Neurospora crassa OR74A: one gene and its partner. The protein of the gene in region 2 purifies or fractionates together with the protein of the main gene of each other region. This does not show direct contact. Links are inferred from orthologs where the notes say so. Each region holds a gene or a part of one and is shown on either strand. Other genes may lie near its edges. The genes, in order: NCU04171 and NCU05714.

What was found.
Region 1: the proteins of NCU05714 (region 2) and NCU04171 purify together in Saccharomyces cerevisiae (affinity purification with mass spectrometry, with the first as the bait; 3 studies listed by BioGRID). This does not show direct contact. The link is inferred for Neurospora crassa OR74A from reciprocal best matches to the Saccharomyces cerevisiae genes MRPL10 and MRPL7.

What each region holds. Positions count from the first base shown.
Region 1 is NC_026505.1:5,079,060-5,083,210, forward strand, and holds NCU04171 (mitochondrial 54S ribosomal protein YmL7/YmL5), read left to right. Parts: upstream 1-1,564; 5' UTR 1,565-1,839; coding exon 1,840-2,096; intron 2,097-2,232; coding exon 2,233-2,917; intron 2,918-3,120; coding exon 3,121-3,237; 3' UTR 3,238-3,569; downstream 3,570-4,151. Other genes in the region: NCU04170 (hypothetical protein), read left to right, coding at 1-1,172; NCU04172 (hsp70-like protein), read right to left, coding at 3,871-4,151.
Region 2 is NC_026503.1:604,294-608,108, forward strand, and holds NCU05714 (mitochondrial 54S ribosomal protein YmL10/YmL18), read left to right. Parts: upstream 1-1,444; 5' UTR 1,445-1,569; coding exon 1,570-1,910; intron 1,911-2,035; coding exon 2,036-2,633; 3' UTR 2,634-3,272; downstream 3,273-3,815. UniProt on the Saccharomyces cerevisiae protein: Component of the mitochondrial ribosome (mitoribosome), a dedicated translation machinery responsible for the synthesis of mitochondrial genome-encoded proteins, including at least some of the essential transmembrane subunits of the mitochondrial respiratory chain.

The DNA of each region.
Region 1 (4,151 bases), on a different chromosome or scaffold from region 2:
GATCCAGCTCATCTACTACTGCTCCTGCGGTTGTCAGTACCACTCTCTCTGCACCTACTGTCACTTCAGTCCCTCCTGCCGCTGGCACAAGTACTACAACCGCTGCGGCTGTCACGAGTACAGATCCTGCTCCAGTCACCACTACCACCACTACCGCTACTAGTTCTACTACGAACACCACCCCAGTCTTGTTTACAACTAGTACAACTACTACAACCGCCGCCGCCGTTGCTACTACAGCCCCTACTCAAGCCACCACGACCATCGCCACTGCTGCCACTACTTCCACCACGAACATCGCCTCAGCCTCGCCTACAATTCCTGCTGTTGTGAACTGGGACTACCAAGGATGTGCCAGTGACTCCAACACCGCCGCGCCTACTGCTCGCGCGCTCAATGGCACCTACCTATACGACAGCGCCGGCATGACCATTCAAAAATGTCTTAACTACTGCGCCCAGCAAAACTACCCCCTCGCCGGCCTCGAGTTCCAATCCCAATGCTACTGTGGTCTCGAGTTCAAGCCCGGCTACAGCCTCGGCCAGACTGGCTGTAATCTCACCTGCGCCGGTGACCCATCAACACGCTGCGGTGGCCGCGCTCGTCTGGACGTCTTCAGACAAACTAACTACGTGACGCCCCGGCTCGTCAACCCGTCCGTGGTTAACGGGCGCTTGGCGACGCCACAGGGTTGCTTCATCGACAACTCAACGGCTCGTATTCTCAAAGCTCACTCGTACACCAACAGCACGAGCATGACGGTCGAGATGTGCCACGAACGCTGTCAGTCGAGGGGCTACAGTCTCTTTGGCGTGGAGTTCGGCAAGGAGTGTTACTGCGGCAATTCGCTCGCGGACACGGCGGTGGCGGCGTCAGAGCTGTATGAGTGCAAGAGGTCGTTCTGCGTCGGTGATAAGACGGAGTTCTGCGGTGCTGGCTCAAGGTTGTTGCTTTACAGTATTCAGCCGGCTGGGACTACTTCTCCTGCTAGGAGGAGTATAGAAAGGAGAAACGAGGGGATGGTGAAGGTGAAGTTACCCAATTTGGGCAAAGATGGGGAGTCTGATTATGAGTTGAAATGGGATGGTGATGGGGGTGTGGGACAAGTGAGAAGAAGCGGCTCTGGGCGGAAGAATATTGAGAGGCGATGGGGACGTAGTCTTGGACGGTGATGATGATACTTGGATGTTTTTTCTGTTTTCTCTTTCTTCCCCGTTACATACTTTGTTGTTATTGCTAGACATGCTGATAAGGTGTGCGCGGAATGATGTAATTATTAGTGGCTCGGAGGATACTTCGAGCAAAGGAAGCGTACGCATATACAAGTGTCTCCTAATCTAATCATACATGTCGTCTTAATGTGTTGGAATCCTGATCTGAATCGCTTATATTGGTACAAACATAGTGATATATTTCCAAATCCATGCTTTATTTAGAGTTCATCAACCACATCAGATGCATTCTCAGGGGTCCAGGAACGCTTTCAGGGGTAACAGACTCATATCCCTAACCCCAAACTCATCCAGCTTTGGCCCGTGCTGCCAAGCATTGGCCCCGGTTCGAGACTCCGCAGAGGCTCCAAAAAAAATTCCGGCGGGCGGCACAACGGGGACCGGCACCTCTTCGAGCCTCGACGCGGGACCAGGACCTTGCGCTTGCCGGAGAAGGAACCTCGCTGCCCTCTGCCCGTCCGTGACAGACCTTCGGCCCCGATTTCCCGCGTGCGCCGGACCCTCTTCCTCAACCACCACTCCGAAGCGACAACCTCCACGGTCGCCAATTCCGAAACCAGAGCGTCCGCCCGAACGCCGGTTTCTTTTTTCGGTATCCTAATTCACCATGGCCAGTCTCCGCGGGGTCTCGCGATCGGCTCGCGCTCTTCAGCCTTTCTCTGCTCAGTTCGCCGTCCGAAGATGCGCCTCGACACAAACTGGTGCCGGCGCTGCTGCCGCTACTCCCAAATCCAACATTCCCGACCTCGCCGAGCTTGAGACACGGTCGGCATTGGACGCTCCCATCCCCAGCGAAGAGGACAAGAAGGAGTTCAGGCCATGGAAGCGCGCGGCCGACAGGAAGGCGAGGTTGCCTAGCAGCAGGTGCGTTATACACTCTCCCTCCGTCCCGTGGTTTACATAGCTAGCCACACACATGTATATATACATACATATACGCAAACCATAAACAAGATGTTTAAACGTTGCTAACCACCATGCCTCACCTCCTACCGAACAGATACCAATACCACCCCCCCAAGTACAACCGCGGCCCCCTCCACCCCATCCAATCCCCTCCCTCCTCCGACCCTATCGCCCGCGACTTCGTTCCCGGCCCCTTCAACATGCCTCGTCTCAAGGAAACCTTCCGCACCGTCATGGCCTCGGACCTCATGACCCTGGCCTACATCCACACACCCCCGGGAACGCCCAAAAAGGAACCCACGGAGCGCTTGCGTGCCTGGGAGGGCGACTCGCCCTACTTCGCCAACCGTGCCCGCCGCGCGCCCCGCGGTGCCCCCGAGCTTCCCATTCGCGAGCGCGACATTTCGTTCCGCAACATCCCCGAGATCAAGGAAATCACCGTCTCCACCTTCGTGCCGCTCGGTCTCAAGAACCCGGACTTGTTGATTGTGGCCCGGGCGGTGCTGCTGGCCATGACGGGGACGATGCCGGAGATGACGAGGTCCAAGAACAACGTGGTGCAGTGGCAGCTGCAGGCGAACAAACCGGCTGGTTGCAAGACGACGATTTACGGAAACGCGGCGTGGGAGTTTATGGATCGGTTGATCCATTTGGTTCTCCCCCGGATCAAGGATTGGAAGGGCGTGCCGGCGAGTACGGGTGATGGAAGCGGTAATGTGCAGTTTGGTTTGAATCCGGAGGATGTTCAGCTTTTTCCCGAGGTGGAATGCAACTATGATGTGAGTTTGTTTCTTGGGAAATGATGGGTGGAAGAGAAAGAGAGGACGGAGGAGAACAAAAGTTTGGAGTTGGAGCCGGAGCCGAAGCTACAGTAGGGAGGGTTCTGGTTCCGGCTCTGGCTCCGGCTTTGGCCCTACCGTCTGCTTCGTCTTCTTGTTTTCTTGGACTTGACGACAGATTACTGACTTTCTATCCTCTCCAGATGTACCCCGCCAAGATGATTCCCGGTTGCCACATCGCCATCAAGACGACAGCCACCTCCGACAGGCAGGCTAAGCTTCTGCTCCAGTCCCTCGGCGTTCCTTTCTACAGCAACTAAGCGCCAAACGGGCTGTTGATCGTGAGAGGTTGAGAAAGGGACGAGATTCAAGGAAGGGGGATGAGAAGATGATGAACAACATCTCGCATCATGATAGTTGTTGGATGACAATTGAGGAGGATGAGGAGATGTGTGAAACTTGTACAATACGAATACACTAACCACATAAGGACGATGTATGTTGGGTGTATATATACCTTTTGTAACAACATCACGAGGAGGAGGCTTATAGACGAAGTGGAAAGGAAACGGAAGAAGAACAATACCACCGGGTCTGACGGTCAAAGATCAAAGAAGTAGAATCACAAATGCGTAAAACAATTGGAAGGGTGTCATCATTGCGTGAACTGGATTGTGTAAACGGACATCGTCAAGGGTATCTGCTTCATAAACAACTCCCAAGTCTAGAACCACATATCCATATCCCAGTCTAGCTTTGCACAGAACAGGTCAAGATATTATGACAACAGAACCCATTCGTCTTGATCAACCAAGGATCTCCAAACAAAAAAAACCAAACGCCTTTTCCAATGCCAAAACCAAAACCATATCTTTTCAGTCCCATTTTCCTTTCATTTGGTCATCCCCATCATGAACCCCAAACCCTCAACCTACTCATCCCCTTAGACAGCTCTAAGCAGACTTGGCCTTGTTTCTCAAAACGTCAATAACCTCATCCACTTTATCCATATCCGCCGCATCCACCTTGGTCCCGTTGTTCACCAAAACCTCATGACCGCGCTTATGCATCTCGTCCGCCGCGACATCCATAGCCGGCTGATAATTCCTCACCGCACTGCTAAGCGCATACGTAGCCTTGCGCCTCACCTTCTCCGACTCGCCCTCCTTCATCGCCAGGTCCACCAACTTGGGCACGCCGCCCATGGCCAACAGCCGTTCCTGCGTCTTTTGGT
Region 2 (3,815 bases):
AGAGACAACGACGTTTGAAAACATGAATCAAGACCGAAGAAAGAACCGTAAACATATTGAACGTCAAATGAAAGAGAAAGTAGTCTGGCATTCAAGTCGTATTGAAACTGACCCAGTTGCTTTCCTAAAAGGAAGGTGCTATCCATGGGTGGTGAGGGCTTGACTTGTACACGAAAACGATCAGGTCGCTGCCGCAAACATGACCACATCCATGGGATCTTTCCCGCTCGCAAAGAAACCCATTTATCAGCCCCAAGACAGAAAGCAAATATTGAGAGACCACATTTTTGAGGCCCTGAGAGGCTGTCCAATTGACATGAAGAGCAAAAAGCTCGGTCGCCCAGGTAAGTTTGTAGAACGAACGACAATACCCCAACTGCAGACCTACGAAAAAGCCACACATTTTCATCAACGGGAACCACTGTGCCAAAAGATCACAGAGTTCCGTTATGCCAGAGAGATCAGTTAGGGAACCCGACCTTATATAATACCTGTAGGCTACAGCAGAGGGTACTAGAGGTTTGCGGCCTGGGCGGGAAGGGATCTTGTCATCCGATGTTCCCGTCGGTGAAGGGCGTGCCGACCGATTGCCGGTGGCAGGAGCGGTGGCAGGTACCTGGCGCGTGGTTTGGGCTTGGGACTGACATTCCATGCTTGAAATTCAGACAGACTTGAGTGAAAAGCCATTTCGGAGCGGCGCTTCTCTGCTTGACTTGGAAAGTTCCATCACGATCGGTTATGTTTATCCCGCGAAATGACTGCACGCTGTCCCTTGCTCTGTTCTGCAGTAAACGTTATCCGACAGCAAAGAAGGCTTAACAATTACATTCTTTCTATCAGCCATACAAACACCTTCAGTAAATCAAAGTAACATTCAGGCAATTCCAGCGTGTATGTCACTCATGCCATTCTCAACACTCCCGAACCCCACCAGCTCGATTGGCTCATGGCTGACACAGAACCCCCTTCGACACGCCCTACTTCAGGACTTCTGTGTAATTCTAGCGTAGGTCGCAGTTGAGACCCATCTATAATAGGTTTCTAGTATGAGCTGCTCTTGGCTGCCTGTTTTGCGTTGCTCTCAAAGGCAATACTTTAAGCATCCCACAGTTGTACTTGCACAATATTTTCTCAACGCACCTCCAATGGCCTCGGGACACTCAATTTATGATCATTCCGACTGGGTGGAAAAATTCCCTAAACTCGCACCAGATGTTCTTCAGCCTGTTAAGCCGCGGTACAATCACTCTTAGGGACTTTCACCGCACTGAACCTTTGACATGTTCTTGCATATCCCGTGTAAGTGATATCGAACATGGATATTTTGGAGCATCACGGTCCCTTGGCGAAGGACGTCGGATGTGGACCAGCTGCTGACTCAGCCGCCCATTCGCAATTGACCGAGACCAACGAGGGCGCACGGTCCACCCCCGCGACGCAGGTGTCGGAATTTGGCTGGGCGCGGGTCCTGAACTTTTGTTTTCGGGGAAGTGCCGTTGCCGTGAGGAACGGAATCCGGAAGACTGCCCGACCCAGACCCAACCCACTCCCGTGTCCTCCGCCTCCGTCATGCCTCCCAGGTTACCGCTCGCCCAGGCGGCGCGATGCTGCCAGGCCTCCCTCACAGCCCGCCCTTCGGTCCCAGCCTCGTCGCCGACGTCGTCCCTCATTTCGCTCTTTGCTGCCCTCTCCGTCCAGACCAGGAGCGCATCCATCCTCGCCAGCCTGTCCGACAACCGGGGCGCCTACCACAAGCGCATTCGCAAGGGTCGCGGTCCTTCGTCCGGCTATGGCAAGACTGCCGGTCGCGGTACCAAGGGTCAGAAGGCCCACGGTCATGTTAAGCCATGGTTCCAGGGTGGTCAGACGCCCTTGATCGTCTCTCACGGCCGCAAGGGTTTCGTTAACCAGTATGCCGTCCCGACTTCCCTACCTCGCTTGCTATGCGCCATGGCCAAGAACTCTCCAGCATGCTATCCGATAACCTATACCTACCAGATACATGATGGAGACTAACCATTTGTGTCTTTCATAGGTTCGCTGCCGACATGTCCGAGCTTAACCTCGAAAAGCTTCAGGAATGGATCGAAGCCGGCCGTATCGACCCCACGAAGCCCATTACCCCCAAGGAGATCATCAAGTCCGGCATCATTGGCAGCAGCATCAAGGACGGCATCAAGCTTCTCGGCCGCGGCAAGGAGAGCTTCAAGATCCCCGTCACCATCACCGTATCGCGCGCGTCCGCCTCCGCCATTGAGGCCATCGAGGCTGCCGGCGGCAAGATCGTCACCCGATTCTACACCAAGGAATCGCTCAAGCGTCTGGTAGAGGGCAAGTCTCTTCATACCGACAAGCCGCTGCCGGTGGGCAAGGAGCACGTGGAGGAGATCCTGGCGCAGGCGCGATCGCTCAAGAAGAAGTACTACCGCCTGCCGGACCCGACCAGCCGTTGGGATATTGAGTACTACAGAGACCCGGCGCATAGGGGCTACCTCAGCCACCAGCTTGCGCCTGGCGAGTCGCCCAGTTTGTACTTCAAGGTACCGACGGGCGGCGAGAAGGTCAAGGTGGTCAGGGCCGACAAGGTCAAGGCCAGCAAGACCGGGGATGTGGCGTCGGAGAAGCTCTTCTAATGAACACGAACATTGCCTGGGATGGCGGTTTTTCCGAGACTCGTTGTTGCGCTCTTCCTCGTTGTTGTATGATAGGTACTGGGCCCGTTCATGGCTCTGTGCTTTGTGTTGTATTATTATCATCCGCGTATTGTCAGTCCAGCGTCTTGCTCCTCGGATCAGTTCTATTTGGGTCCTTGTACATCATACAGGTCTCACCTACGGGAGTGGATTCCCACATGCGGCCAGCACTCCACTTGCTGACAACGCAGGTGAATCATGAAACTCCCTTGATTGACGTGTTCCTGCTTTTGCGATCCATCGTAGTTCGAAGATGGGCTTTATAAAGTAAATATCACTTGGCTGCGTGTTGACATGGTCCAAACGACGGATCTCGAAGACTTGCTGTCCCGTACCTGGCAGTCGGAAGAACAGCCATTGGCCAGTGACATGTCAATCCCGCAAGCTGACCCCGGTCAAGTCCCGGTCCTGGGCGGTCCCCGGCCATTCCTTCCAGGGCAGCTTCCACGGGGACGGTGAATGGGGGCATTAGAAAATATGGGTCTGATCACGTGCCAGGTCGCTTTTGGTACCTTCTCCATACCAGCTTGTAATTACGTCCGAAAACAGCCGTCAATACCCGACTTCTCTGCAAATTACCAATTAGTGTTAGGGTTAGTTAGGGTTAGTTAGGGTTAGTTAGGGTTAGGGTTAGCTCCGGGGGTGCAGGGGGCCGGTGAGAGGCCCCCGCATGTGAATGTGAATCGTTAATATTGACATATGTCAACCATATGCCGACCATATGTCTTGTAATTACGGTAATTACACGGGTGACTTTCGATACCTTCGGCTTAAAGAAAGTGGAGTATGCACGGACCAGTCTAATGCCCCTAATCACCATGCCCAGCTTCCACAGCGGGAACCGTCCACTGAAGCCACTGTATGCAGCCCTCCCGAACGGGATTGTGTCAGCTTTGGAGTCGGCGCGTGCCCTCCACCCACTCTGCCCGCCGCGGCGTCATCATTGATGCATCTTGACTTTTCTTTCCTCGAGCGGGAGAGACCAAACTTTGTCGTTGTCAACATCACGACCTGCTTCAACTTTTTTCTTCATTTCTGTGTTTCATTTTCTTCTTTTTCTTCTTCTTCTTCTTCTGGCTGAGGTTGCCATAATCTCATCATTAACTTGTTCACTCTTTGGTT